Arabidopsis thaliana: one gene and its partners. The protein of the gene in region 1 interacts with the protein of each later gene in a biochemical or structural test. Each region holds a gene or a part of one and is shown in the gene's direction. Other genes may lie near its edges.

What was found.
Region 2: the proteins of AHP5 (region 1) and ARR15 form a complex in vitro, tested with the Arabidopsis thaliana proteins (one study listed by BioGRID).
Region 3: the proteins of AHP5 (region 1) and ARR4 form a complex in vitro, tested with the Arabidopsis thaliana proteins (one study listed by BioGRID).
Region 4: the proteins of AHP5 (region 1) and ARR7 form a complex in vitro, tested with the Arabidopsis thaliana proteins (one study listed by BioGRID).

The regions. Positions count from the first base shown.
Region 1 is NC_003070.9:845,879-851,733, forward strand, and holds AHP5 (histidine-containing phosphotransfer factor 5), read left to right. Parts: upstream 1-1,914; 5' UTR 1,915-2,280; coding exon 2,281-2,349; intron 2,350-2,488; coding exon 2,489-2,619; intron 2,620-2,763; coding exon 2,764-2,835; intron 2,836-2,929; coding exon 2,930-3,001; intron 3,002-3,119; coding exon 3,120-3,192; coding exon of another isoform or gene 3,193-3,249; exon of another isoform or gene 3,250-3,300; coding exon 3,301-3,357; 3' UTR 3,358-3,743; downstream 3,744-5,855. Other genes in the region: 2A6 (2-oxoglutarate (2OG) and Fe(II)-dependent oxygenase superfamily protein), read right to left, coding at 74-696. UniProt on the Arabidopsis thaliana protein: Functions as a two-component phosphorelay mediator between cytokinin sensor histidine kinases and response regulators (B-type ARRs). Plays an important role in propagating cytokinin signal transduction through the multistep His-to-Asp phosphorelay.
Region 2 is NC_003070.9:28,130,947-28,136,331, reverse strand, and holds ARR15 (response regulator 15), read left to right. Parts: upstream 1-3,306; 5' UTR 3,307-3,621; coding exon 3,622-3,751; intron 3,752-3,849; coding exon 3,850-3,926; intron 3,927-4,134; coding exon 4,135-4,212; intron 4,213-4,304; coding exon 4,305-4,375; intron 4,376-4,477; coding exon 4,478-4,742; 3' UTR 4,743-4,885; downstream 4,886-5,385. Other genes in the region: AT1G74910 (ADP-glucose pyrophosphorylase family protein), read left to right, coding at 1-55, 136-204, 324-366, 462-562; OTP43 (Pentatricopeptide repeat (PPR) superfamily protein), read right to left, coding at 951-1,030, 1,118-2,399; NdhO (NAD(P)H:plastoquinone dehydrogenase complex subunit O), read left to right, coding at 5,312-5,385. UniProt on the Arabidopsis thaliana protein: Functions as a response regulator involved in His-to-Asp phosphorelay signal transduction system. Phosphorylation of the Asp residue in the receiver domain activates the ability of the protein to promote the transcription of target genes.
Region 3 is NC_003070.9:3,440,618-3,446,618, reverse strand, and holds ARR4 (response regulator 4), read left to right. Parts: upstream 1-2,258; 5' UTR 2,259-2,859; coding exon 2,860-3,037; intron 3,038-3,125; coding exon 3,126-3,202; intron 3,203-3,289; coding exon 3,290-3,367; coding exon of another isoform or gene 3,368-3,449; coding exon 3,450-3,520; intron 3,521-3,619; coding exon 3,620-3,995; 3' UTR 3,996-4,631; downstream 4,632-6,001.
Region 4 is NC_003070.9:6,576,589-6,581,738, reverse strand, and holds ARR7 (response regulator 7), read left to right. Parts: upstream 1-2,424; 5' UTR 2,425-2,660; coding exon 2,661-2,808; intron 2,809-2,938; coding exon 2,939-3,015; intron 3,016-3,234; coding exon 3,235-3,312; intron 3,313-3,405; coding exon 3,406-3,476; intron 3,477-3,573; coding exon 3,574-3,820; 3' UTR 3,821-3,906; downstream 3,907-5,150. Other genes in the region: AT1G19040 (NAC (No Apical Meristem) domain transcriptional regulator superfamily protein), read right to left, coding at 4,326-4,844. UniProt on the Arabidopsis thaliana protein: Functions as a response regulator involved in His-to-Asp phosphorelay signal transduction system. Phosphorylation of the Asp residue in the receiver domain activates the ability of the protein to promote the transcription of target genes.

The DNA.
Region 1 (5,855 bases):
ATAAACCAAAAAAAAACTAAAGAGAAATGAATCCTAGCTAGCTAGGTGTTTGGTATGGAAAGGGAAACGTTACCCGCAAACCGCGGGCAAGTCCTGTAACTTGGGAGGATCGGGGGCCATGTAACAGGCGAGCGTATCTCTCCAATTTGCAGCCTTATTACAAGTGTGGAGATCGATGTTGCTGTAGTAAAGCACATCTCTAGTGTGATCCCTAGAGTAGAACCGTTTCTTCACTTCCGGGTCCTGCTCGTGAAACCTGCGAATCCCTTCTTTCATCCTCTCCATCACCTCCACCGAGATCCCATGATTCACCACCTGGAAGAATCCCCATCTCTCCGCAGCGTCTCCAATCTTCTCCACCACGCTCCGCCGCGATATCAAATCCATGCTTCCTCCTTTCAGATCCACCGTGGGGATCGTCAGCTGCTGCGAAGGTGGTGCTGTTTGTTTCAGGCTTGTTAGAGTATCCGGAGGTGTATGGAACATGGCTGGAATCTCTTTGATTCCCGAAGCCACAAGCCCTTTCACGCCGGTTTTTGTCTCGTCGAAAGCTTTTGCTTGACTTGAACGATCACTTGACTCCATCTTGCTTCTTCTTTCTTTTTTTTGCAATGCACAGATTTGCATAAGTGCTATTATTCCACATCTTAATGCACATCTTAATACAATTAAATAACAAAAGGAATCGTGACCCATATTAAGATAACAAATAAAGAAATGAATCGCCAAAAACAAGGTCCATTAGTTTATTTCAATTCCTATATTAAAATTTGGATTCTTAATTGGTCGTTTGTCTTTACAAGTAAGAATAGCATCCGGTTTGAACTTTTGTTAATTAACTACACACTTACCATATTAAATCTCATCGCCATTGTTGCTCGCCTAGCTCTCGAAACGCCACTAATTAGCAAAACAACATTTAAAGATATCTCGTTTGGAGGACTTTGGACAATCGTTCCGCTACTGTTCATTTTCTCTCTCTTTGAAGTTTTTTCCAGTTTTTACAGATCTAGTTTTTTCTGCCTCTGTTCTTCATCTTAGGTTATGAATTTGCAAGACAAAGCAGGAGTAAGGCAAGCTATCTTCTCCGGCATTGGAGTGGTGTGGTTTTTCCGGTAAGCGTGGCAGCGGTGGCCCTTTCTCGGTGGATGAGAGGCTTCTCTTCCGTTTCTTCCTGGTTATGGACGTCGGTGGAGATCGGTGAAGTCTTTCTTGGTTCAACCACTTGGTTAGACGCTGTAGCTGTGGCGGAAGACGCTGTGGATTGGTGGGTTTTCAGTGCGTGTTTGATGGTTAACAAACTGGATCTGAGATGGCTGTTGCGGGTTCCGGTTGCTGAAGGGTTGTCTGAGCCATCACCCTTCTTTAGCCTCCGTTTTTTGTCTCCATCAATCCGGATTGAAGGTTGCTTTGCTTTTGGAAAATTTTCAGATCTAAGGTTTTGGAGGTCAGAGGCTTGGAAATGCGTGGTCGTTTTGCGAGGTTGGGGACTCGACCAAATTGGGTGGCGGAGTGTCGGAAACTGGGTTTTTTCCGTTAGGTTTGTTGCAGGTCCGGCCAGCTCATTGGTAAGAGATTTGCGGCAGGACTCGTATACTTCGGCCAATGATCTCGTTCCGGTGGTTGTGTTGCAAAGTAGTGGGCCTTGTATACGACGGTACTAATAGATCTATTTGCTGCCTCCGTTCCACTGCCCAAATCCACCTCTGGTTCTCTTTTTCCGGTGACCGGATTTTTCCTGTTTTGTAACTGTGGACGATTGTAATTCCGGGCCTAAGCCCAATTGGGACTGGACCTTTTTTTTTAAAAAAAAAAAAAAAAGATATCTCGTTTGTGGAGAACGCATGCTAGCAACTTCCCTATCTATAAAATCAGATTTGCACCCCACAAACTAAAATATTATTTACGTACTTGATTAATTCCTACAATATAGTCATTTACAAAAATAACCCTCCATTTGATATTTAAGTCAAAATCAGTCAACGGAACGTGGAATAAATTATAACTTTCGACGCTCCGATCAGATTCATCATCATCTCTCTCTGTGTCGCTCCGATTTTGAATTTGGAATCTCTTAGTTAAGTTGGAAGTTTGTTCTTTGGTCTTTTCGCCTAGTTGTTGTTGGATCTGTTTTAAATTAAGCCAAAAACCTCCGATTAGATCGATCTCGGAACCGTCGAAATACAGTTCACCGTATCCGTTGTTTGTTTTTGGTATATGTATGTTTGAGAAGCTCTTACCATCTTTGTTTACAAGTCTGGTTCTTGGTAAACTTTAGCTATGAACACCATCGTCGTTGCTCAGTTGCAGAGACAATTTCAAGACTACATCGTTTCTCTTTATCAACAGGTTCGTTCCTAACCAAACTTTTCTTACTTTGGCTGGATTCTCACTTTTGGGCTTAGATAAGCTTAAGGTGCAGTTATGTGTGAATTTGAATTTTTTTATTTTTTTTATAAAGATGATATAATATGTTGTTGTTTTGAAGGGATTTCTGGATAATCAGTTCTCAGAGTTGAGAAAGTTGCAAGATGAAGGAACCCCTGATTTTGTAGCTGAAGTTGTCTCTCTATTCTTCGACGACTGTTCCAAGCTTATTAATACCATGTCTATATCCCTGTAAGCTTTGCTTACTCTCTTAGGCTTCTCTTTTTTATCTAACATGGGACTTTGTCTCTAATCCTCCTTCATATTCATTTTTGAGGGTGTAAATTAGCTTCATATATTCATGACAGCATTTTATGAGTTTATTATAAACATTAGGGAGCGGCCAGATAATGTGGATTTCAAACAGGTGGATTCAGGTGTTCATCAACTCAAGGGTAGTAGCTCCAGGTTTGTCACAGTGAACACTGCTAAATTTGCTTTTCTAGTTTTAAGTGACCAAACTACATTGATTTTAATGGCTCAGTCTCTGCTTTGTACTCAGTGTCGGTGCAAGGAGGGTGAAAAATGTGTGCATATCTTTCAAGGAATGTTGCGATGTTCAGAACCGTGAAGGGTGAGTATATTTTTTAGCTTGTTGATGCAAAATGTTATTGGATCTCTAAACTTTTTTATTATATGAGAAGCTATTCTTCTAATTCACACACAAATTGTGATAATGATATCTGGCACAGGTGTCTAAGGTGTTTACAGCAGGTGGATTATGAATATAAGATGTTAAAGACTAAACTTCAGGATCTCTTTAATGTGAGTTTTAAACTTTGCGAAAACCTACTTGTTCTGCTTGTGTATTCTTTTTACTGAGCCTTTTGCTACTTCTCATTCTTCTGTTTCTGTTATGTTATGTTGTTGCAGTTAGAGAAACAGATCCTCCAAGCTGGAGGTACAATTCCTCAAGTGGATATAAATTAGACCGATGCGTTTCTCGATTATGCAAATGTTCAAGGCTGATGACACAAATGAAACCGAAACTCCTCTGTAGTTTTGTTGTTGTTGTTATGTTTTATATTGATTAATGAGGTTCAGCAACACTGTCCCTGGCCAGATATCGTGTCTTGTTTAGACTCTTAATTGAGTTCTAAGAGTAAAAATTGAATTATTAGTCTATAAATAGACATGTCCATATGTATTCCTGTCACAATGCAACCACCATTTGGAGCCTTTGTTCTGACCATCATGACTTAGAATTCTCAGCATTATTCTGAATCTGATATACTCTATTGGATTCATGATTTTGATTTGAGCCGTAAAGCATGCGGGTACTAGTTAGCACTTTAGACGATTTCATTATGTGTGGATTAATCAAGAATGATTTGTTTGAATTATGGATAACACGATTCCATGGTCTCTTTATTTTGTTAACGGTATTCCATGGTCTCTTTTATCAACATTATTGTTATAGGGCTTATAAGACATGATTGTGACAATAGATTGAGAAAGGATTGGGCATGTCTTGTTAGGTATGTATTTAATATAATGTCCGAATTACCTCAAACTAGGAATGAAATAAAAAGAAAATGTCGAAGAATTATCAATAGATTGTTTATAAGTGGAATAAAAAATGTGAAGCCATGTGTCTATGGTAATCACTAGGTGGAGCATTTTTTTTTTTTTAAAGGAAGAGTATGTGAAGTGAAAGAGACTAATGAAACATAAATTGAAGGCATGGAGGCGTGTAATGTAACAAATAATAACAAAGCTTTTCTCCTCTATCCTTCATTTTATCATATCCATCTTCATCATTTTTATTTCTCTCAACCAATGTTTTTAAAATAATTTTGTAATATCCTTATAACATGGTTGGTTTTAGGGTTCTTCATGAAACCGATTCAAAAGTCAAAGCAAATCTTATATCGGTTACTATGTGATCTTACCTTCTATGGAGAGAGGATTCGACGACACACCAAACAAACACAAGAGTCCCAAAACGAGTGCGTTAATTGTCTCGTAGTGCGGACCATCTTAGGGTTTAGACCTTTTTAATTTTGTTCATTATGATTGGAACGTATTGCTTTGGCTTTCTTGCAAAGCCAAGTTTTCTTTTCATAAATCTAATTTGGTCTACTCATCACTACCTAGTCTCTCTTAGAATGAATACTAAATCATTTTTATTATGCATGGTTGGTATATGTGAATCAGTAGCGAATCATTATTTGAAACGTATTTAGATGTACGCTATGAGTTAATTATTTTCAGAAAACGGTAGTTACACTTATGAAACTAATTAATGCACATCAAAAGTAGAGACAATCTGCTAATATACGTACACAAGGCAAAAGATTGTACAGTAGAGGTATATATCGAGCTATTTTGTTGCTTGCGTATGTAGTGAAACAAATGTTAAAATTGGGTAAGCGTTATAAATGTTGACCTGACCATCTTATGCATGTGTTGTTGCTAAAACTTGTGGTCCAAGCTCCTATTCCTTTTTTTAACATACAAACAACAAGTTTTGTGAAAAACCAAATGAGTAAAAACTAGAGAAATATAACATGTCACTGTTTTTACCATATTTACTCTTTTTTTTTCCTTTTGCTTTTAAACTTAAAGTCAATCTCTTATGCGTTGTCCAACTTTTTTACCAATTATCTTTCTTTACGCCCACGGAATTGAAGGACCATTTGCCAGCTACCTTTGTAAAATTTAGACAGTTGGAACAACCTTACAAATCTTTTTTTTTCTCTTTCACCTATCTAACTGTCATAGCTAGCTTTTACATCTTTCTCATATTCATTTTATTCATTCGTAAAATATTAAAACTTTCTTTCATATATAAATATAGATTAATACAGTTATATATTTTTTGGTCAATGAAGTAAGTTAGTAATTAGTATAATGGCTAAATGTAAACGAGTGAAAACAATTGACAAAAACATTTGTTGATTTATGCAAGAGTCGGTATACGAAACATTTCTTCGATAGATGTGTTAATCTATAACTTCATCAAAGAAGCCCTATGGCGAATCAAACATTTAGTACTAACTAGGGACTATAACATTTAACTAATCAAAAGTAGTTGTGAAATAAACTTTTGGTCGCAAGATTTGTTGGAAGTGGATATAGTACAGTAAAGCTTAGTTAGATATAGACTAGGACACACTTCAAAGTTGATATTGACTAAAACTTTCATCAGTTACATTGACCATTACTTAACCATCTATCATAAGCTAAACTTCCTACGATATGCGTTATGATTTGTGTTAAATATCAGGAAAATTCTTTATTTTATTTTTTCATCAACTTCAATCAGGAAAATGAAATTGTAACGCTGATTTTGTGTTTTAAAATCGAGCAAAATATATCTGGAAAAAATAATAAAGTACAATTATAAAACAAAGGTAGTAGCTAGTACAATAGAGTAATTATCGAACCAGAAAGCTGACGTGTCACGGAAATCTCGCTCGTCCAAG
Region 2 (5,385 bases), about 27 Mb from region 1:
TGGACCGGGCGTCAGGCTTATGAGCTGCATCATCCTTGACGATGTTGAGATCATGGTATGTCTACTTATACAAGACACAAAGTGAAAAACGGTTAAATTTTCTCGAGGTTGACCCTTCAGTGACTCTTTGCCCAGGAAAATGCAGTGGTGACTAACGCAATTGTTGGGTGGAAATCTTCTATCGGGAGATGGTCCCGCGTCCAGGCATGTTTCCCTCTTCTGCTCATCTCTTAAGAGCCTGACTCATTCTTTTTGGACCTTGAAATGTTTTTGTTTGATTCCTTTACAATCGTGAACCTGAAGTTGTACTTTGTTGATCACAGGCTGAGGGAGTCTACAATTCGAAACTCGGAGTTACAATTCTCGGTAAACTGTTCCTCCATTGTAGCTCCTTCTCTTTATATACAGAAAGCAAAATCTCTTTATAGACAGATAACTAACCTCAAACATAATGGTTACAGGAGACTCGGTTGCAGTTGAAGACGAGGTTGTGGTGACCAGCAGTATTGTTCTTCCAAACAAGACACTGAACGTCAGTGTTCAAGACGAGATCATTTTGTAACTGAAAAACGGAAGTTGAAAAATGGAACCAACCCAGTGGGGAGCAGCCACACTATCTCCCTCTGATTCAATATCTACTGGAGAACCACATAAGCAAATATTTGGGAACTAATTCACATGTATCATTTATTTACACCAAGAATTTTCCAACATTGTATCAATTCCATTTTCTATACTCACAACACAGCTACTGTAAAAGGCACTGAATTTTTGCCCAGAATAATAAAGCACTTGTGTAGTTTTGGCATTGATAATAAACTGTTCTTGCAAAATCCTATGAAGCCTTTCCTGGTCCAGTCTCTATTAACTGCAATGCAATGCTTTGGGGAAGTATTGATTGTTGTAAACATAGCAAGAGTCTATCCCCAATCACATGCAGACTAGTAACTTCATAGCCTGAACTTCCGGAGAAGCCGGCTACCAGATTTACTCTGCAATCTCAAGATCTCCTTTGCAAAAGCTTGATTCCCTGTCAAAAGAAGCCCGTTCAGAACTCGATTAAAAGTAAATTTCCGGGGTATAAACCCTCTCTCAACCATCTCAAGCAATAGTTTACCAGCGACCACCATATCTTCTGATCTTTTTCTCACAAACATTCCACTTATCAGTATGTTGTAAGTATCTAGATTTGGCAAGCAATCACCACTCCCCATTTTCTCAAACAAACCCAACGCTTTCTCGACCTCGCTGCATTCCGAATAATAACGGATCATCATGTTATATGTCTGGAAGTTTGGTTCACAGCCTTCATTCTCCATTCTCTGCATCAACTCCTCTCCACGACTAAACTCTCCAGCGTGAAACAACCCTCTTATCAACACATTATAAGTCGTCACATTCGGCTCATAACCTCTCCTCACCATTTCCTCAAACATCACAACCGCATTCTCCACATTATCTTTCTTACACAAAACTTGAATCATAGCATTGTACGTCGCAACAGAAGGAAGCACACCTTCTCTAATCATCTCATCGAAAACATTCCTCGCCCGCTTTATCTCCCCCGCAACACCAAACCCGTGAACCACAGTAGTATAAGTGACAACATCTATTTCACAATCCCGTTTCTTCATCTCCAAGAAGAATTCCCAAGCATGTCTAATCTGCCCAGCTCTGAAAAAACCTTTGAGCATTGTGTTATAAGTAGTCAAATTAGGGTTTATCCCTCTCTCAACCATCTCTTTCAAAACTTCTAAAGCCTTAGGCGTCCTTTTAATCAAACACCAACCGTTAAGAATCACATTGTAAGTAACTGTATCAACACTAAATCTTCCCCTAAGAGCTCTAAACAACTCATAAGCTTTCTCTACGCGTTTAGATTTACACAACACATCGAGAATCGTATTGAAAGAAGCTAAATCTTGAAAACAACCATGTTCGTGCATATTCAGAAACAGCTTAACCGCTTTATCGGGCTTCCCAGCGGATGCGTACCTCTCGGCGACGATTGCGAAGGTTTTGGGAGAAGGACCGATGCGGAGAGAGCGCATACGGTGAATGAGTGACCAGACGGTGGGGTGGAGGTGAAGACGGGCGGCAATGTCGATTGCGAGATCGAAGGAGGAAGCGTCGTGGACATATTCGCGGTGGTGATTGTCGAGGAAGTGGAAGAATTGGAGAGCTTTAGGGCCGTGGTTCCAGAGTCGCTTGAGAACAGAGTTCACGAGATTTGGGGTCCATGGGGTTGTTTTGGTGGAGAGTAGAAATTGATCGTCTTGGTGAGTTGTGTTCGGAGAAGAGAGGATAAGCTTAGCTATGGCGGCGGAATCTGCCGGCGGTGGTTTGAGATTGGCTCCGGCGGCCGAAGTACATAGCGATTTGCTAAAAAGACGTTTCATCGATTGGTTTGTTTTATTTTGTTTTGAAAAAAGTCTTTTTAAGTGACTTCTTGGGTAATTTGGTGTAGTTGTATCACATTTGTTTACCGCTAAATAATGTTTTAACCGTTTTATGGAACGTTTCTTTCTTTTTCAGATTGTACAGAGTTAGTTGGTTTATGGGTCTAATTGGGCATTCTTTGGAAATGGTCTCACAAGACATTGTGGAGTTCAAAGAAGAGTTCGACGATTCTCACAAACCAAACAGCAGAGTCGATTGCTAACCAGGCCTTTCCATCTAAAACATATTGGTTATAATTGATGCATTGCGGTAGGAGTATAGCGTATCCGTTGTAATTGATTATGAAAATAATACCAAAGCGATTAAAAAGATACTTTCACCGCACCGTTCTTTCTATCCGTTACTTTATACCACTTTTAATTATTTACATATCGTTAACCGCTTTCTCTATCTGCTTAAATTTTTGTACCGTTTTATGTTATTAATCAAACCTTGAATGGATATGTTTGTTTTTGTAATGGTGTCCACCAAAGTTTATTTGATGAGTTACAAAAATAATTATATTTTAAAGTTTTGAGAAAAAAAATCATGTTTGTGAACTTTCAATTGATTCACCTCATGAAGATTTTATAAGTTCTATATAGATTTTGTGAATCTTCAAAAGTACAAATATATGTACTCTTTTTCCAACATAAATGTAGTGAAAATTTTATTTTATGTGAAAGAATGAAAAGAAACCAAGTGAAAGAAATTAATAGACAGTACATGTAATTACTGAATACGAAAGATAAAAAGAGAGGAGAGTAGTCATTGTCAGATAGAAAGAAAGAGCAGACAAAAGGATCGTAAAATCAAAGAAAATTGGGTCCCTAAAAAGATTATGACCGTGAAGACACAATATTACGTTTTCTGACAAGACATAAACACATCACTCATCGCCTTTAGATTCTCTTCCGACCCTCACAAGATCTTAACAACAACAACAACAACATCAAGATCCGATCCTCCAGATTCTCTTCTGTGTATTTCCTTAAATCTCCTCCTCTTTCTCTTTCCTATTTATTTATGTATCTCACTCACCGCTTCTGCCTCTCTCTCTCTCTCTCTCTTATTTATGTAACTCCTCGTCTTCCTTCTTCACATTGATTTCTGCGTCCTTTGACGTTCAAACTTTAAACGTTTCTTCATCTGTTTTGTTGTTTACTTTCCCGAGAGAAAACAATGGCTCTCAGAGATTTATCTTCTTCTTTATCTTCTTCTTCTTCACCGGAGTTACATGTTCTTGCCGTTGATGATAGTTTCGTGGATCGTAAAGTTATTGAGAGATTGCTTAAGATCTCTGCTTGTAAAGGTAAAAGGCAAAACTGTTTCTCTTTACGTTTTCTGCTTTTCTTTTGTTTGGTTTCTGATTCGTTTTTTTGGATAAATTTGGTGGGTTTCTTTATATAGTGACGACTGTTGAGAGTGGGACTAGGGCTCTGCAGTATCTTGGTTTAGATGGAGACAATGGATCTTCTGGTCTTAAGGTATATATTCATTCATTTCTTAGAATCTCTCTGTTTTCTAGCAAAATCAACCCTAGACGTTGAAACTTGAAGTGTTCTTATGCTGGTTTGGCTCCCAAGAAATCTAAGGTTTCACAATGTGGATCAAAAGTTTAACCTTTAGAGGATGATTTTATTATTTGTTTATTGATGCCGTTTATATGAACAATTTTGCAAATTTTGATAACAGGATTTGAAAGTGAACTTGATAGTGACGGATTATTCAATGCCGGGACTAACAGGATATGAACTCCTCAAGAAGATCAAAGTAAATTTCTATTTTGTGTCATTTATTAGAGCAAGATTTGAATAAGCTCTTCTCGTGTTTTCCTTACAAAAATTCTGTTGTATATTTGCCAGGAGTCTTCAGCACTCAGAGAAATCCCAGTAGTGATAATGTCTTCTGAGAACATACAACCTCGTATAGAACAGTAAGTCACTATAGCTAAAGATACAAAACTGAATCAATGGATCTTAACACTGTAATCTGATTTTTTTGTCTATCCTCTCTTTTGTTGTTGTTGTTGTTGTAGATGTATGATAGAAGGAGCAGAGGAGTTTTTGCTAAAACCGGTGAAATTAGCTGATGTGAAGCGTTTAAAAGAACTTATAATGAGAGGTGGTGAAGCTGAAGAAGGAAAAACCAAAAAACTTAGTCCTAAGAGAATCCTACAAAACGACATTGATTCATCTCCATCATCATCATCAACATCTTCATCATCGTCGTCTCATGATGTTTCCTCCCTTGATGACGACACTCCATCTTCCAAGAGGATCAAATTAGAGTCTAGGGGTTAAATGATTGAGCTCAATCTTTTCTCACGTTTTCTCTTGATTTCCTTGTGTAATATACATTATTTTTGATATATGCAACTATGTAAGTCTAGATTCTAATGCTCACCTTATTACTCTGTTTTTTTTTTTTGTTAAAACAAAAGGAGATCAATGTGAATATGATTTAAACAATTTTATAAAATTAAATACTTTGCCTACAGTATATATATTGTTTCCTACTTCACAACCAGATCAATTAGATTCTATAATGTAACATATAATTTAAAAGTACACGTAAAAAGATTTTGTATATGATCTTCCATGTGACATACACGATTTCACTTGTATGTGTTTATAATTCATAAACTTTCAAGCATCAGAAAACAAAAAAAAACGAATATAATCTTTGTTGGAATACATTATCTATTACTATATTCCTAGTTGTATAGCAGAGGAAACTTGTTTGCACTTACGTGGCATCTTATGATTGGTTCAGTGATGTCTGTTTTAGACCGTTGAGAGACTTGGATACCATTGCGGTCTTATCCCGAAACTCCAAGAACACATAATTTTTTTTCTTGGTGGTCTCTCCAATGGCTTTCTCTGCGACTGTGTCTCAGCTTTCTTCTCTTTCAACCATCTCCTCTTCATTACCAATTTCTTCTAG
Region 3 (6,001 bases), 2.6 Mb from region 1:
CCATTTTGATTGAAAAGTGTTCAGGGCTTTGGTTGGGTTTAACTGTCCGACCCTAGTGAATATTAATATGGATCAAACACAGACACAATTGGGCCTTCACTAAAATCTTCAGTTTCGGGCATAAAATATAGAAAGCTTCACTACTCCGATTGCCAACCCCCTTTTAGAGCTAGCGCATGCATGTTCATATATTGTTGAGATATATCTGTTAGTTGATTGTTATGTCAAAAATCTTAACTTATGAAATTTTATGTGCTCCTTGTTCTTGACGTTTTTGAAACATTTCTTGCATGAGTGTGTGTGATAATAAGCATAACACATCGAAATAGAAGTATAAACTTCGCAAATAATAATTAACGACTAAGAATAAAAAAAAACTTTGCAATATGGTGTTAGAGCCCACAATTTTCTTAAATTAAGACAAACGAGTAACTTCGTTTTCATCGAGATCAACATGGCCTCATATTGATGGTGAAATTTTTGATACATAAAGCTAGAGAGCACAATTTGGAAGAGAATAATTACTAGCTCACAAAAAAGTCTAAGAATCAATAGGATAGGAGATATAACTCAGACAACATAAGAGTGATACCAAGGAAGGAGAAAGACCAATCTATGTTATCCAACAAATGCTTTGTAGATTAGATATGAGCTTATGTTGACATTAATCTGGATTTTCGGATTTGAGATTCAACTATATTTCCATGTACGTATAGACTAAAATTGAGTTTCTATATGATCCATTGATCCTGTAACAAAATCTAGACGTCAAAATGAAAATATTCAAGTGTACATGATTTTGAGTATTGTATAATTAGGTCAACTAATCAATTACTTTTATTTCTACAAATATATTATACTATGTAGAAAATATTTACAATAATGATTAGAATATAAAGATGCTCCAAACCTCAATCGAGTACCAACATAAAATTAATTAAAGGGAAAATGTCAATGTCTTTAATTTTGTAATTGATGTCCAAAGTTCCTAGAAAAAAGATAGATTACGATTTTATGTGCGACACGTTGATGACTACTTTTATGGATTTTTTTGTTCAACCCTCGATTTTGAGTTGACATCATGAAGATTTGATCCATCATTCGTTGGCCCATATCGTTTGAAAAATCAATTCTCAAATCAATCTTAAATTTCGCGTAATTATTTTATAAAAATGGGCAATATATCCATTGTAAGATTTGTCTATTTCACGCGTCATTTTTCTTTCTACTTTGTTAGATGTTTTTGGTTAATGTAGAAAAACGATTAAATTAGAGACACTATCAATTAGAAGAAACAAAAGTCTTTTGATAAAACTCTACTTTGATCATCCACGACTGTGATCGATAACTTCTAAGCAACCTTGAAACCTGATCTTTTGAGCTTTAACTTTAAGTAGGAAAATGTCATAGTATTGGATTTGGTCGTCTTTAGTTTACATTCAATCTGGAATAAATTTGTTTCTCTAGAAAAAATAAAGAGCCAAAGAATCATTATATATATTTATTGTTCTCATGTTTATATACCTATTTTTTCTTAATAGTAGCTCTTTATTATCAAGAGATTTTTAAAAACACCTATATTGTCATAACATTTTCATAAAATTTTTAAAAATAAAATAGAAAATCAAAACATTTACCCTTTCAACAAAAAGAAATAATAATGATATTTTATATAAAAAAATATAATAAATGGGTGGGAAAGAGAAAGCAAAAGCGATCTCCAAGATTTGATACGGTGTGGTGTCTAAAAGAGTGAAACAGCAAATTATGTTTGGAAGATTAAAGAAAAAAAAGAAGAAGAGAGGTAAAGTCCAATTCCCCCTTTCATTAATACAAATTGTTCCCAACAAAATATTTATGGGTCCCTCTTTTAGATTTCCCTGGGTCCCGCGGATCCAAATTTTAATGTGGACGTCAAATCCTTTTTTTTTATTATTATTTGTCCACTTTCCTCTTCTTCTTTTTTTTTTTTTTGCCATTTGAAAACGATATAAATAAAAGTGTTTGGATAACATAAAATTTCTAGAGTCATATGGATGGATATACTACTAGTTAGGCGTATACTAATTTTCTCGTCAACCCACAAAACCCGATCTTAATATTATTCTATGAATTGCATTTGAACCATAAATTTTAAATTAGAAACTGACCAATCACATGGAACAATATAAAATTGTCTTAGTGGTTAGTACTTAATACAAATAAGACCAATCCGAAGAACCGAGCCGGTTAAGTTTAAACACGCTACTATGAATTGTAATGGTGTATGACCAAAATTAGCTTCTTTAATCTTCTGGTTTATTATTCTTAACAGTGAGTGATTCCATTTTCAGTTTTTTTTTTCCAATCACACTAATGAGTAATGACGAGATTTTGACTAAGAAGTTGTATATATCTCACGATGGTATATTTTTATTTTTTGGATTCCTTTGTACGGATTTCTTCTCCTCTATTATTTATTCGATTTTAGGAATATTATTTTCTCTATGATATTCGCATAGGCCCTCCACCGGATTTTCCATAAAATCTCTATTTATTAATACTATTGTTTTCAAAGATAAAAGTTCAATTTTTTCAACCCTAAAAGCACGGCACATAAAAATATATAATTTTCACATTAATAGGAACCAAAGATTTTGTTGGATTTTCCTCGCTGGAGATTTTTCAAAATAAAAATTGAAAAAACCAAAAAGACACACTCATAAAAGATTTATTTTAGAGAACAAAAAAATCAGAAATATAAAAAACTGTCTTAAGGAAGAGAAAGGAACAAAAGAAAACAGATGTGAGCTCTTCTTCTTCGTCTTCTTCTCTCTATTTTATTCTCATCCTCTCCTCACAGTTACTATAAGCTCGTCTATGGCCAGAGACGGTGGTGTTTCTTGTTTACGAAGGTCGGAGATGATGAGCGTCGGTGGTATCGGAGGAATTGAATCTGCGCCGTTGGATTTAGATGAAGTTCATGTCTTAGCCGTTGATGACAGTCTCGTTGATCGTATTGTCATCGAGAGATTGCTTCGTATTACTTCCTGCAAAGGTTCGTATTTTTTCAAAAAAAAAAACATCTTTCACTTTTTTTTATTCCTCGCCGGAATATTTACATCTCCGGTGGTATCGTTTGTCAGTTACGGCGGTAGATAGTGGATGGCGTGCTCTGGAATTTCTAGGGTTAGATAATGAGAAAGCTTCTGCTGAATTCGATGTAAGTTATTGAAATCTGATACAGCTTTTTGTTTTTTTTGAAGATTACGATTCGTGAGTTTGATTTAGTTTAAATGGATATTTTCAGAGATTGAAAGTTGATTTGATCATCACTGATTACTGTATGCCTGGAATGACTGGTTATGAGCTTCTCAAGAAGATTAAGGTCTGCATTTTCCCGCCATTTTCCTGTTTCAGATTACGGTTGTTTTAGTAACAATGTTGAATTTTCCGGTCATCTGAAACAGGAATCGTCCAATTTCAGAGAAGTTCCGGTTGTAATCATGTCGTCGGAGAATGTATTGACCAGAATCGACAGGTGTGATTCTTGTTGATTTCTTCACAGATTTTGGAGTTTTTAGAAACTGTTGATTGATTTGATAAAATTTTGTAAAAAAAAAAAATGATTTTTGAACAGATGCCTTGAGGAAGGTGCTCAAGATTTCTTATTGAAACCGGTGAAACTCGCCGACGTGAAACGTCTGAGAAGTCATTTAACTAAAGACGTTAAACTTTCCAACGGAAACAAACGGAAGCTTCCGGAAGATTCTAGTTCCGTTAACTCTTCGCTTCCTCCACCGTCACCTCCGTTGACTATCTCGCCTGAATCGTCGCCGCCGTTGACTGTTTCGACTGAATCGTCGGATTCGTCTCCGCCGTTATCTCCGGTGGAGATCTTTTCCACCTCGCCACTTTCATCTCCGATAGACGATGAAGATGATGACGTGTTGACGTCGTCGTCGGAGGAATCGCCGATTCGACGGCAGAAGATGAGGAGTCCCGGATTAGATTAGTGGAACTATTCTGGGATGCCGTGTAATATTATCTATCTCCGTTAACTTCGTTTTTACCTCTGACGGTGTTTTTAATTGCACGTTGACTTGACGCCGTCAAATTTTATAGATGTCCCTTTAATCTCTCGCGCCTCCACGTGGGCCTTTTTTCCTTTTCCTTAAAGCTTTTCGAATATCTTTTAATTATTTTAATTTCTGCACAAAGTTACGTTTTTAACTTTTTTAGTCTTTAAACAAAGGGAAAATTGCAATCGAACCTTCGACATTCACCATTTATTATGATAACGAGACTTGAATATGCGTTTTTTTCTTATGTATTGGGTCCTAAATAAGTCAATATCATAGACATATGGGGTTTTATAATCAGAAAGTTAGCTAGATCTGACAATTCAAGAATCAGAGAGCTAAGGTTTTTTTTTCCAGATACAAATCAACTAGTAACATTTGAATCCACTATAGTCATTAAACAGTTCCATAAATATATATCAGTTTTATGACCCAAAATACTCCTATTAATGACTATAAGCCGATGCTCTAATTTTTTTGGCTAAATTATAAATATTTCATAGATAATGAAAACAATTTAGGTTACAAACATAAAATTTGAAACTTATACATATGAATTTATAGTAAAAAAGAATAAAAATATAAATGCATAAAAGGCGGTTAATTAAAACCAAATTTTGGGTCCATTTTTCAACCTTGCAATGAAGCTAAGGGAATAGATGAAACGATGACGTTCAATTCTATCCTTCCCAAAAGAGATGCACAAGCCGATGCTCTAATGCAACTTTGAATATACATATTTAACCCAAGAAAAAAATGCTTATAATATACGACGAAGTAGTGGATGCATCATTATGCATGTGTAGATGTGTAGAGAGTAAGCAAGAAAATAAAAAGAAGAAAGAAGGAAGAGGAAGAAAGAATAAATGCAAAGCTGGAAATGGGCAACTCTTGTTCCCTTCCTTTGGGGCATATTTCTCCATAAATAGTCTCTATAGATCCCTTGTCTCTGGCACCCATTTTGGTGTTTCTTTTTTTATGGTCATGTGTTTTTACCATTTGGATCCAAGTAAGATCTTCACATTAGAAACCACGACCAATATAATTAAGCTTGGGATAGCTTTAACTTTTGTATATATGTTGCTTAACGTGTGTGTTTCGGATCTATGTTTGATTGGTACTAGAGGTTGTTATAGGCGGTTGGTCGTAAACTTATTTATCATCGAGAAGACCGCTGCAACAATCTAAGGACATGACCCAATTGCTATTCGCATTCATTTTCTGATGAACAAATCAGATGTTCTTTCGATTATCTAATAAAACATATTATATCTCACTTTATTTTAGCTTGTAATCCAAATTTAGACGTCAGGTGTTCTTTTTCTCTAAATCAACCTAATTCAACCTAAATCAACCATTGAACGAAATTCTATATTCACACACGAATTTTACTCGTATTATTTATAAAAAAAATAATAAAAGATACAATATAAAGAGTTGGATTAGTATAATAATCTAATGACAGAGCCAACCACATTGGAAAGACGAAATCAATTTTAAAATTTGTAGATGCAATGTATATAACCAACAAAATCATTAATTATTGTCGACAACAAAATCATCCCCAAACGATACTCCTCACGTTTGGCGTATTTAAAATTTTGCAATAAATTAACAAAAATTGTCCTTGGTTTGCGTTTTGTCCCTTCATGTGGGGGAATAAATCTCTCTACCACATCTTTTTCTTTTGTCATCTTTGGGGTACTGTAGTGTCCGATCGCTGTTGCATGTGTGTTTCCACGTTTTTTGCTTTACTCTTAACATGTAGATTACTTTTGTCTACGGCTAGTTTGCTGTTTAATTTATTCTTCTTTCTTTTTAGATAGTAATTTGAAAAATTTGAATCTTATGTCCATTATCTTCTTCGTATTTAGAGGAAACATCAAGTAAAATTAGTTTTTCTTTTTTCTTTTTCTTGTTGTCGATATGATAACTCATGG
Region 4 (5,150 bases), 5.7 Mb from region 1:
TGCCTCGATATTTAATAATATAGAAGTCGTTACCTATATAAAGAGAATCCTCGTAGTCCAATTTGATGTTTAACTTTATTCGTAGTCTCTGATTTGTTCGATGACTAAACGATTTTATTAACACTTTGGTTTTCAAATATCTCCTCTTTGGTAGTTGGTACCGGTTGATGATGTGGAAGCGAGTCATATTTTCTTGTTTTAGTGGAACTAATTTTTTCCCAGTTGATTATACCTTAGAGTCAAACTTGATTATTATCGCACTGGACGCATATAGACAAATCAATACTGTTCTATGTGATAAGTCATAAAATTAAAGTTTGACAAAAATATTGTATCAATTTGTGTATATATTACTGTCACATATAAGCATGTTAACAATGAGCTGAAAATAATGTTGTTATGAGAAAAACAGTATATTTATATACGATAATAATATTAGTCTTGAAAAATAACTAGTAATATCTTTGGTATTTTGGTCATCGTATCTTGAGATTGTAAGCAAACTTTGTAAACAAATCAGTACGTGACTATATGATGAAGCATTATTTATTACGAAACCAACAAACGGAGAACACTTTTATATATATTTTAGCGTTGTTATGACTATAGTGTTTTTTCTCCTCTTGTAGCTATCGTGACTATATCATCAATAGTCCGTTTCTATTATTCAGGAACTGTTCGTTTATGTTTAAAATCAAATTATTGACTTCTAAAAAATAACTGAATACATGAAAGACTTTGGTGGTTGTGGTTCGTTTTTTTAAATTGGATTTAGGATTTTCTTTTCATAAATCTTAGGTACGGAGCAAATGGATGACTGTCTCTTGATTTGTTTATTTTATTATTCAAAATGTATGCAAAGATCTTGATAACTTGAAACATAAGACATTAAAATCTAGGTGGAAAAAAACATTTGAAAGCAAGTTTGTTCCATATATAAATTGCAATGAAAATAAGAAAATGTGAAACATATTGATGGTTTTTTCCTTTTCCTTTCAGTAATGTTCTTATCACCAATGTTTTGTTTGGCACGATCATCAAATGTTTAGACATGTGGATCAACATTGTAATAATTTTCTCTTCAAATGACTGACTCTTTTTTTTTTTTTCAAAATAATGTTTTTCGTAAGTGTTAGGTGTGAAGACCATCATGTTTTTGCTAGATTCTTGTAGATCTCAACATTGATATTTGTAGATATCTATCAAATCGTTACAAAAAGTTTGCTAGATTCTAAATTAATGCTAAGAAACCAGTTTTCTTTACAAAATGTTTTTGTCAATGTCCTCTCACAATCGGCTAAAAGATGTTACAAACTATAAAGGATCCTCCTCCACAACTTTTGAAGATTTTACTCTCTCCAGATTTTGTCCAAAAAGGACTCACAAAATCACACAATGATGGTCAACTAAAAAAAATCACTAAACAACTTAAATGAAATGATGACAAAACTATTCCCTTTTGTTGCAAAATAAAAAAAAAAACCTTTTAAATCTGCAAAGAGATCCTTATATGATATGGCTGTTGTCCTGGTATTATTTCTCCAATTTAATTTAGGAATTTCATGTTTGACACTTATTTAGGGATCGTATAATATACGTTTTTTAATTGATTTGAAACCAAATAACATGTACTATTGCCTTAGTCCTCTTGCAATTCGTTTAGAAGATGTTATGATTGAGACAAAAGGATCCACCCGCAATACTTTGTCCATATTTTTCTCTCAAGATTTTGTCCAAAAGCAAAAGAGACTCACAAATCACACACAATGGTCCACTAAACAGAGTGCCTTTATTGCATACAAAATTCAATCAATTTAATAAAGGAAACTCAACTGAAAACGATGACAATAAAAAATAAAAAATGTCCCTTTTGTCTTTAAATAAAATAATAACCCTTACTGACGTAAAGAAAATTAAATTAAGATAACCTTGTAAAATACTTCTTACCCAAATTAAAAAAGAAAAAAAAAAAGACAACAAGAGGATTAAATTGTATTAGTATCACCATCATACCATTACACATAAATAAAATTTAGTAGAGTATAAACGAATCACGTGTATAGGAAAATACAAAATACAATGTTGAAGTTAAAATGAATATAGAAGTAGATTAATTGAGCAATAACCACCGGTTTTAGATCATTGATTGATATGTAAGTAAAATGCAAAGTAGTAGCCGACTTGGCAAAGAAAAAGAAAAAAGAAGAGAGAGAGAGGTAAAACTAAAATAAAATTACTAAAAGCAGAAGGAAAGTTCCAGGTCACGAGGGAGTAGTCGCTGTCGGATTGAAAGAAACAGACCAAACAAAGATCTTTGAAATCTTAAAAAAGATTCGGTGCCCAAAGATTTTGACCTTTGAAGACACATTTGATTATTTGTGTTTTCTGACACTTCCCAAACACATAACATCAACACTTGACCCATTTTTAAGATTTTGTTTCCTCTTCAAAGATCTTACCCCGCAAGATCCGATCTTCCAAATCTCTCTCTATCTACTATACTAGTACTTATTAAACCCCACCACCTCTCCCTTCTTATTTATGTCACCTAACCTAACTTCTTCTTCTTTCATTTTATCACATTCATTTCCTTTGTCTTCAATCCAAAGCTTTCCTCTTCTTGGAACCAATCTGCTCTCTTTTTTATTCTGAGTTTGACAATGGCGGTTGGTGAGGTCATGAGGATGGAGATTCCCGCCGGTGGAGATTTGACTGTTACTACTCCGGAGTTGCATGTTCTTGCCGTCGATGATAGTATTGTGGATCGTAAAGTCATCGAGAGGTTGCTTAGAATCTCTTCTTGTAAAGGTAAAAACTCAAAACCAATCTTTTTCTGCTCTGTTTTTGTTGGTTTTAACTCTCCTCTGTTTTTCTTCTTCATTAACAAACTCTCCTCTGTTTTTTAGTTACAAGTGTCTTTTTTTTTTTGTTATTTCAGTGACGACTGTAGAGAGTGGAACTAGGGCTTTGCAGTATCTTGGCTTAGATGGAGGCAAAGGGGCTTCTAATCTTAAGGTAATTAAGAATAAATCTTCCCTCTTTTGCTATCTACTGAGAAGAACTCTTGTATATTTAGGAAAGACCGAAGGAGTGAAACCTTTGCAACTTTGGCTTTGGCTATTGCTTCTTCTTGTCTTTATGATCAAATGAGATTTAGAAATGAACTAGTCTAGTTAGTGATTTATGTGTTTTGGTATTAAGATTTGATTTTGTTTGTGATTTTCATCATAACAGGATTTGAAGGTGAATTTGATAGTGACGGATTACTCAATGCCAGGACTTTCAGGATATGATCTCCTTAAAAAGATTAAGGTAATAACAATAATAATGGATTTACCAATCTGAGAAAGACTTAAACAAAGCTTTTTTAATGCTGCTTATACAAAACTCCATTGATATGTGCAGGAATCTTCAGCATTCAGAGAAGTACCAGTAGTGATTATGTCATCTGAGAACATCTTACCTCGTATACAAGAGTAAGTACTGATTGTGTAATGTGTAGTGATACAGATGGGATCATATTTGTGTCTACACTGTGATCTAAACTTATCGACTTCTTCTTCTTGTTTTTAGATGTCTCAAAGAAGGAGCAGAGGAATTCTTGTTGAAACCGGTGAAGCTAGCAGATGTAAAGCGAATCAAACAACTTATAATGAGGAATGAAGCTGAGGAATGCAAAATCTTAAGCCATTCTAACAAGAGAAAGCTTCAAGAAGACAGTGATACATCATCATCAAGTCATGATGATACTTCTATCAAGGACTCTTCATGTTCAAAACGAATGAAATCAGAATCTGAAAACCTTTTTTCTCTACTTTGAATTATATGTATAGAGGCCAAGACCTTAGCAAAACCATTCTGTTAATATTCCTCAAGAAAGACAATGTTTGAGAGAGTCATCACACTACTCATGATGTTGCTTAAACAAAACAAAACAAAAAAGAGAAAAGAATCAAATGTTAGGTTCACACTGACTTACACCTCATGTAAATTCTTCAATGCTTGCAACTCAAGCTTAGGATGCTCTTCTCCCGGAAGTATTGGTCTATCATCAATCACGCAGGAATCGTTTTTCAGGTAAGTGAGTCTGCAAACCGCCCAAACAGGATCCGAAGACAATTGGAATTCTTCTACTTTCCACCCGGTCATTGAGTGGACACGCCCCACATCGAGATTGAAAGAATATCTTGTTTTAGTTCCCAGAACATTTTTCTCTATGTCATTATCTATGATTTGTGTAACAACACCATTGACCCTCCATGTTTTCTTCTTGCCCCTGAGGTAGAACATCAAATTCAGCTTTTCACGACGAGACGAACACTTTCTCACAAAGTAGTACCATTCACTGTCCTTGTAAAAAGGAGATCTAACATGTTCAAGAAGCCATGGCTCCATGGCATATAGCTCTCTCTCTCTCTTATGAAGCAGCTGAAGTCTGGTGAATGGGCCTTTGGAGTGAGGTACAAAGAGAGTAGCTCTTGATCAGTCGGATGAAATCGGAATCCGTAAGTAAAGACACTTGGTGGGACGTTCTGACCAGAACTCAGAGCATCATGTATCTGCTTCAACACATCCCATTTCAAGCGTGGATGTTCAAACCCGTTCAATCTAGGCTTATCTAAGTACTCATTCCCGAGGGGGTTTTTCTTAACAAAGTAATACCATTCATAGTGATTGTAACACGGATCTCTCACATGCCCAAGTACCCACGGATCCTTGTCGTACAAGTCTATGGTTTTGATAAAGCAGCTGAACTCCGGCGATTGTGTCTTCCGCATAAGGTAGTCTGTCACTTCTTCATCAGCTGGGCGAAATCGAAACCCGCGTGTTAACACCTCTGACATTTTTGCTTCTGATCCAAGAAACGAGAAACCAAATTCATCAAACTCGATCTCTAAAAACAAACAGTGATCTATTATTCTAAAAGAAAACCCAGTAAAAGAATTGGAATCATGGTAATGAATATGATTTCTTCTAGCAGTAGAAACGGTGTGAAAGTGTAACAGAGACGAATATATGCTGAAGAAGAAGAAACTTGATTATGAGAGAACGAGAACTTACATGAATCAATGATCGAAGATTTCTTCTAGCAGATTAACAGAGAGACCCAACGACGTGAAAACTTAACAGATATGAATGTTCGAAGAAGT